Linked DNA regions of Cricetulus griseus. The protein of the gene in region 2 binds, or shares a complex with, the protein of the main gene of each other region. Links are inferred from orthologs where the notes say so. Each region holds a gene or a part of one and is shown on either strand. Other genes may lie near its edges.

Region 1 (3,745 bases), on a different chromosome or scaffold from region 2:
TGTAATTCCTTCAAAAGGAAAATTCAAAGATTCATCACAGATATACACTGACACATTGACAGAGTAAGGGATGCAGGACTGAAATTAAAAGAAACAAACAAACCCACTGCAGATGTCTAGGGTCTAGATGAGGGGCAGAGCGTGCACACAGGTGCTCACAAACTAAGCACAAGCCGTCTGTGCCCTAGCACCTGAACACAACAACAGAAACTTCACAGGAAGAAGAACTAGAGGAAAATAGATAAAACAGACATGACAAAATGCTAAGTTCTGAAGTTGGGTGAGGAATCTTTCTTTTTTTCCCCCTATAGATATTTTTCCTGAGAGTGGAAGACTCTTTAGGGTTTTATACACTTTCTAATTTGGGGCAGTTGAGGCAAAAGACTTGTCAAATTCAAGGTATGCCTGGACTGCAGAGTGAGTTCAAGGCCAACCTGGGCAAATTAGAAATTAGTAAGCCCTTGTCTCAAAACTAAAAGTTAAAAAAAAAAAGCTAGTTTTATACCCAAGAAAAGCAGTGTATAGTACTTATTTACCTGTCATTTGAAAGGCCCTAGGTTCAGATAATTTACTAAGATTTATTATGAATTTTATTACAGGCTTTCATAAATGACACTTTATTTTTCCTCTAAGAAGCCTCTCCCAACTTATAAAAAATAGAAATATATAGATACACATTGAGAATTCTATGCCTCAACACAACATCAGTCAGGTCAAATCACAGTGTTGCGGTTGAGGTCAGGGCAGCAGGAGCCCCTCCTACCCCCACCTCCCACTACATGTCCAACAGGCGTTGGCTTCAGACAGTGACAATGGTACAGAAGTGTGGGAACTAGAAGGAGCAGGAAGAGCAAGGTGTGGCAGCTCCTATCTGACCTTGGGACTGGGTTTCAGATGATGGGCCATGAGCTGCGAAGTATATCACAAAGTCTCACAATCCAGTCGTGTCGGTCTTGTTCTGACCTGGAAGTTCTGAGTCACTATGAAAATACTCCTGTTTGGTTCAGGGCCCAGAAATCTCACTTTCTCACCACTTCGTGTCCTTTCATCAATTCCAGACTGAGCTTTTTTTCCTCCAGGCAAAAGGACCAAAGACTCCAGAGTAGAGCGAGGAAGGTGCTGGGAGCCAGGTCTCACACCTTAATCGCAGCATGCGGCAGGAAGACCACTGAGCCTGGGATACACAGTGAGCTCTGGGATAGCCTGGGCTATAGACCAAGATCCTTTCTCAAAAACACACATGGTGTCGGGTGACAGAGTGAAAAAGCAGCAGCCACCAAGGTGGAGTATGGAGAGAAATATTAAACACAGGCTCAGAGTTCCAATCCAAGGAAGGACTTAGCCACTTCATGTCAATTTCCACATGTCCATCCATTCTTCCTGGGATTTGGTTTTCCAACACCACTTTCCAAAACCAGGCAAGGACAGCAACTTGCACAGTGTGTTCCTTGAGGCATGTTACATGATTAGTGGGGAAAGTGAAGGATGGCGTCTTCTTCCCGGGAGGTGCAGGTGGACGGGGCAGACTCGCTTCTTGACATGTCTGGTCTCAGCAGGACCCTCTCAGCCCACTTCCTCTGGTGTAGACTGTGGCATTCCACCATCAGCTGTATTTCTCAGCTAAGCCTAGCCCTCAAAACAAGCCCACCCCCACCTGCTAAGTCCTCTTCCTGGTGCTTAAAGTCCATGGCTCCTCTATCAGTCCCAGGAGAACTAACCACACCCCAGGCTCTGGTCAGACCATCATTCCCAGAAGACACATGTTCCAAAGGGGATGACCCCCACTGTGGCCAGCTTTAATGAAATGCTGGTCAGAGATTCAAGGCTACTCTGATGGCCACTGTCATCTTCATTAAGACATGCACTTCTAGCTGCTGCCAGCACCAGATCAAAGCTGCAGTGTGGGCCTGTTTCTAGCACAATGAGGGTTACACAGTCACTTTCCAACAGCTCCGCAGGGATCTTGGAGCCCAGGTGCAGAGAGAAGTGAGATGAGGCTCTGGGCTGGTAAATCAATGCCATGATTCTTGTGAGTCAATGCAGGGGATCCAGGTGGCCTGGAAGATATACTTGGCAGTCTTCCTGGCAGGGCTCAAAGCAGTGGACCCTTTTTTTCCTGCCACTTTCCCTGGCCCTCCAGGTTTCAAAGGAATCAAGTCCTGTGATTAATCAATGAAGTTGTCAGCAGCCCCTGGCCTGTTTGCAAAACAGGATGTCTTCAGAGAAGGCTGCTACTAAAATGATATGGCCTGGGCAAGGGCAAAAGGATGTCACCTTCTTCTTCCCTCTGATTTCACGCCCCCAGGAAAGCGGCGTCCTCTCCCTTACAGGGCAGTTTCCATCTCAGCTCAAGAGAGGGACCTGGAAAGGAGAAGAACCAGAGAGCCTACCAGGGGGCCTCTTGCTCTCCTGGGAGGGAGCAGCTCTAGGGCTGGCAGGGTGGTCTTGGCTGCAGGACACAGGCACTGAAGTGCAGCAAGTACATATGGGAGCCAAGGAGGAGAGGCAGAGGAAGATGACTTCCTCTTGCCCAAGTAATGCATGCCAAGCTTGCACCCACTGGTGAGCCTGTTCCTGCCAAGAACCAACAAGCAGCTGGGGCAGGCCTGGACCCCAGCCTCCAACTCACTTCTTCCTGCGGATCTTGGGCTTCTTCACAGGGCGCAGGTAGGGGTTATCAATGACATTCTCCTCCCCGTTCCGGCTCCCAGACAAGGAGGAGTTCTGCTGCAGTACAGAAGCGTTCTCCTTCTCAGCTCCAGAGTCACCCTTTGAGTAAAAGCCGAAATAAAGCAGAGCGCCAGTGGTGTGAGGAGACACTGCCCACAGCCACAGCCGCCAGTGGTGTGAAGAGAGAGACTGCACTGTCACAGCCACGGCCACCAGTGGTGTGAAGAGAGAGAGACTGCACTGCCACAGCCACAGCCGCCAGTGGTGTGAAGAGACTGCACTGCCCACAGCCACAAGTGGTCTCTTTATTGAGAAAGGAGAAGATGGAGCCACTGTCTTTCCAGGGTCACCATCTCATCCGCAGACTCAATGAGACCTGGGGAGTAATTAGCTCTAAAGGGAGCTTTGACAAAGTGAAAGACTCCAGGGTCCTTAGTCTCTTCAGAAGGTGGGGGGCGTGAAGTTGGAGTGAGGGTTAGAATTTATATGCTTCAGGGAGGAAGCCTAACGCAACAGGGTGACAAAAGGAAGTGGCCATGGGTATTGTGGAGTAAGAGACACAGGGTCAGAACCAATCAGGGAACAGAATAGGTCTCTTCTAGGCCCAAACTAGTGTAAGTCCTAACACATTTATCCAAAATCTCTCATTTCTTGCACTTAGAACAAGGACAAATAACCATATTCCAGCATATTCCAGAACTTCTGGAATTCTGAAGTGAAGCCCAGCAAGGCAAAGCAGAGTCTGCAGATACCACACGTACATATTGTCAATGCCTGTCACCTGTCAATCGGGCGCTTTATTAATTTTTAGCAAAGTTTGATTTTGGACCATATATATATATATATAATTTAAATTTAGAAAGTGTCCTGGATGCATGGGTAATTGACTTTCCTTTCCTTATTAATGTTTATACTCTCCTTTATTTTCCATATATATATTTTTTTTTGGTTTTTCGAGACAGGGTTTCTCTGTGTAGCTTTGGAGCCTATCCTGGCACTCGCTCTGGAGACCAGGCTGGCTGCATATTCTTTGTTTTTAATTTATTTTTGTTCTTTAAAGTGAGCAGTGGCAGCA
Region 2 (4,214 bases):
CAGCCTCCAAAGCCAGAGAAACCCTGTCTTGAAAAAACAAAACAAAACAAAAAAAAAAAAAAAAAAAAAGGAAAAAAAAAAAAAGAAAAAGGTTAGGGCTGGAGCTGGTTTAATGGTGCAGAGGACCCGGGGTTTAATCTCAGCAGTCACTTGGTGGCTCACAATCATCTGTAACTTCAGTTCCAAGGCTTCAGATAATCTCTTCTGATTCCTTTGTGTACCAGGCATGCACAATATATATATATATATTATATAAAGCCAAAACCCTGACACTCACAAATTAAATCCAAAAAAAAGAAAGAAAAAGCATTCAGTGCTTTGGATGAGACCGATAGTACGAGGATGTTAAGATAAAAGACTGGGGACGGATCGGTGAAGCTCTTCGCAATTCCTGTGGACGTTCATAGCTGAGATGTCTTCTATACACGTGTGTGTGGGGTCTCCATTTTATTGGGAACCCTGTCAGATGCTGAAACCGCGTGCGTGTTGCTTACATACCTCGTATATTTGGAATAGGGTTCTTTTTAACCCAAAGCATCTAGTGGATTAAAAAGAACCTCAAAGCTCAGAGCTTAACGGTTACAGGACCAACCCAGGCTTTGGAGTGAATTCTCCCTGCGTCTCTTGGGTGGAATCTTGGTAAACTTCGCACAGGTGTCCTCCGCGGTTACACGCCGTACTGCCAGTGGGGGCTTAAGCAGTTCCTCCCAGAGAGCTCTCGCTCAGCTATTTTAAACTACCATTTAACGGGCCCAAGCAGCCTCTCTGGTCCCCGAGTTAGTTCTCGCGCCGCCAGCTCCCCTGTGGGGAATCGCTGTCCCATCCTCAGAGCCACACAAAGGCACCGACCAAAAATGGCGACTCGGGGGCCACCCGAGGCCGTCGGTTACCGGTCGCAGCACTCAGAGACACGATCCGGTAACAAACACCTAGGGCAGGGGCCCACGCCGAGGTGGGAGACGCAGCGCTCGCCCACGCCAGCCGCACGCAGCGGAGAGCACGAGCGGCGAGCGAAGCCCACGGCCAGCCTCACCGCTCAACCACGTGTCGGAGCGAAGTCTGCGCCTGCGCGAGGCGGGCGCGCGCCCGGCGGCCGGAAGAGCCGCGCGTTTCCGGGTTGGAGGCGGGGAGCGGTGCCGGAAGTGCTTGGGGAGGGCCGCGCAGTCGGACCGGCTGCTGAGACGAAAGCTTCACTGGGGCAGTCTCCGCATATCATGGGGAGATAGACGCTGCTGCCTGTGAGTCTTGGGCCCTGGCAGTGGAGGACGAAGAGCGGGAGGAGGGCGTCAGGACCCAGACCCACAGAGGGGCAGTGCTGAGGAACTAGGTTGTGGAGGAGAGACGGGGCTGTGAGGAGCCAGGCTCTTGGGACGCGACTTGAAGGGTTCGGGCTCGCAGGAGCAGCGGCTGTTGGGGACTCGGGCTCCGAACGAGAGAGACTTAGGGGACGAGGACGTGTGTGAGTTCTGCAGCATCTGAGGGAAAGCCGTCTGAGAGGGACTGGATGGTGAGGACCGGTACTTTTTAGGAGGCGAGGGTAGGAACGAAACGGGGCGTGAAGACACGGGCTCCAGAGAGGTAAAAGTGGAGCGGCGAGAGGACTCGGGCTCCTAAGAGACAGAAGCGGGACAGCCAAGTCCCCGCTCCCGAGGATTCAGAAACCGGGCAGCAAAGACTTAGGGAGCGGAGAGACAGAAGCGAGCAGAGAAGACTTGAATTTGGGAGGGAATAGAAACGGGCAGTGAGGACTGGGTCTTCTTTTGGGACGGAATCGGGGCTTTCTTCAGACTCAAGTGTTCCTGAAGGGACAGGGCTGTGAGGACCGAGCTCTTAAAAGTGGAGGATCTAAGGGATCGTGGCTGGTAGATCAGCCTCTAAGGGAAAGAGGTTTGAAAAGATTGAGCAATCTGTTCTCTGTACCCAAAGGGATGAAAGATATATTCGGGGAAAGACTTCTTGTCGCTGCCTATCTGGCTTTTTGCAGTTAGACTTTTCTCTGTCAGATACTCAAATCTAGAAAACCCTCATGAGACATCTTCGTTTTTCTTCTTCATTATTGTGAATCGGATATGAAGTTGGAAGCAGTTTGACCCGTTATATGCTTGATAAGTGCTTTAAGCCCCATTTCATTCAGCCCTTTTGAGTACAGATCTCTGAACCCACAAACTGTCACAGATGGAAGGGCATCAAAAGATCACTTTGAATACTTTTACATTTAAGGAAAGGAGGGTCCAAAGAAGGGTTAGGGTCTCGGTGAGCCAATTCTCAGGTTATTCAGTACTCTTCCATGTGCAGCAAATACCCTCAGACTCAGAAGGGGCATTTGTACAGATTTTAATACTTGGGTTACTATTATAACATTGACATGGATACAGTAAATGTCACAAGTGAGGAAGCAAACCTTTAAGTGAAATCCATTTTATTTTTCAATAAGCTGTTGAGAAAGTCACAAGTAAACGTGGCCTATATTTTTAGCAGGAACATTTGCTAGGGATTGCTTTTAGAAGTGTGACTTGGACCAGCCATTTCCCTTCGTAATATTCATGACTGAAACCTCAGGTGAATCAAGCACAACTTGAGCACTTTCTTTTTGGGGGAGGGGGCGGTGAGACAGGGTTTCTCTGTGGCTTTGAAGCCTATCCTAGAACTAGCTCTTGTAGACCAGGCTGGTCTCAAACTCACAAAGATTCTCCTGCCTCTGCCTCCCGAGTGCTGGATTAAAGGTGTGCGCCACCACCGTCAGTCCGGCAAACTGAGCACTTTTTGTTTAGTTTTTGAGACAGGGTTTCTCTGTGGAGCTCTGGCTGTCCTGGCACTCGATCTGTAGACCAGGGTGGCCTCGAATTCAGAGATCTGCCTGCCTCTGCCTCCCAAGTACTGGGATTAAAGGTGTGTGCCACCACAGATAGCAATTTAAGCACTTTCAAGTATTCCATCACTTCATTATCACAGCTTCACAGTTAAGTATTGTAAGTTTAAGTATGTTCAAAGAGATTAAGAACTTTGTTGCATGAGCCGGGCGTTGGTGGCGCATGCCTTTAATCCCAGCACTAGGGAGGCAGAGGCAGTCGGATCTCTGAGTTCGAGGCCGGCCTGGTCTACAGAGTGAGTTCCAGGACAGGCTCCAAAGCTACACAGAGAATCCCTGTCTAGGAAGGAAGGAAGGAAGAAAGTTGTCTTAAATGTCATAATACTGAGTGCTTTAGCCCCAGATGTGACCCTAAAACTTTTTTGAACTTTTCTAAGTGAATTCCTGTCCTTGTCGACGGGCGGAGGTGGTGCATGCCTTTAATCCCAGCACTCGGGAGACAGAGGCAGGAGAATCTCTGTGAGTTCGAAACCAGCCTGGTCTACAAGAGCTAGTTCCACGACAGCCTCCAAAGCCACAGGGAAACCCTGTCTCGAAAAACCAAAAGAAAAAAAAAAATATTCCCCTCCTTGTCTATGTTGCTTGTCAACAAAATAGAAAGAAAGGTCATACAAAGCCTGCCATTGAATAGATAACATCCCTCTCCTCCTTTGCCCTGCTCCTCCTTTCCCAACCATTTAGCTCCCCCCACCCTGGAAATTGCTAGGTAGACCAGATTGGCCTCAAACTCTAGGTCCACCTGCTTTTGCCTCTGGAGTGATGGGAATTAAAGGCTGCACCACCCGTCACACCCAGCCTCCTCATCTCCTTCTTAACTCCCTTTAATGTCAAAGACTTCACTACTTCTGTAGTGTAGTATTTGAGATCTGATTCCTGCATTTTTACAGAAGCATAGGCATTCAAGGTAAAAAGGAAAAAGGAACATTTATAGACTCTTAGGCTCTTTCCTTACAATAGAGTAAGATATCTGTAATCAGATTAACTTTCCAGTTAACTGCTAACATGCACTGGATGTTGTGGACACTAGGTGTCATGGTGCTTGCCTGAAATCCCATTATTTGGAAGAGGGAGGCAGGAATTTCAGAAGTTCAAGTCAACATGAGCCTATTTCTGAAAAAAAAAAAAAAAAGAAAAGAAAAAGTCAGGTGAGATGGTTCTTCTGGTAAAGATGATTGATTGCCACCAAGACTGATGACCCCTGAGTCCTCCATGGAAGGAGAGAACCAACTCCCAAAATTATCCTCTGATCACATGTGCATAAACTCACTAAATAAATAAAGGAAAAAAGTTTTTTTGTTGGGGGGGGTTGTTTGTTTTTCGAGACAGGGTTTCTCTGCATAGCCCT

What was found. The genes of interacting proteins can lie anywhere in the genome.
Region 1: Taf12 (region 2) and Taf8 share a complex: the UniProt entries of both Homo sapiens proteins name them as parts of the TFIID basal transcription factor complex. The link is inferred for Cricetulus griseus from reciprocal best matches to the Homo sapiens genes TAF12 and TAF8.

The regions. Positions count from the first base shown.
Region 1 is NW_023276806.1:256,843,547-256,847,291, forward strand, and holds the end of Taf8 (transcription initiation factor TFIID subunit 8), read right to left. Parts: intron 2,770-3,745; coding exon 2,630-2,769; intron 2,362-2,629; coding exon 2,349-2,361; 3' UTR 565-2,348; downstream 1-564. UniProt on the Homo sapiens protein: The TFIID basal transcription factor complex plays a major role in the initiation of RNA polymerase II (Pol II)-dependent transcription.
Region 2 is NC_048595.1:20,972,103-20,976,316, reverse strand, and holds the start of Taf12 (transcription initiation factor TFIID subunit 12), read left to right. Parts: upstream 1-1,270; 5' UTR 1,271-1,504; coding exon 1,505-1,507; intron 1,508-4,214. UniProt on the Homo sapiens protein: The TFIID basal transcription factor complex plays a major role in the initiation of RNA polymerase II (Pol II)-dependent transcription.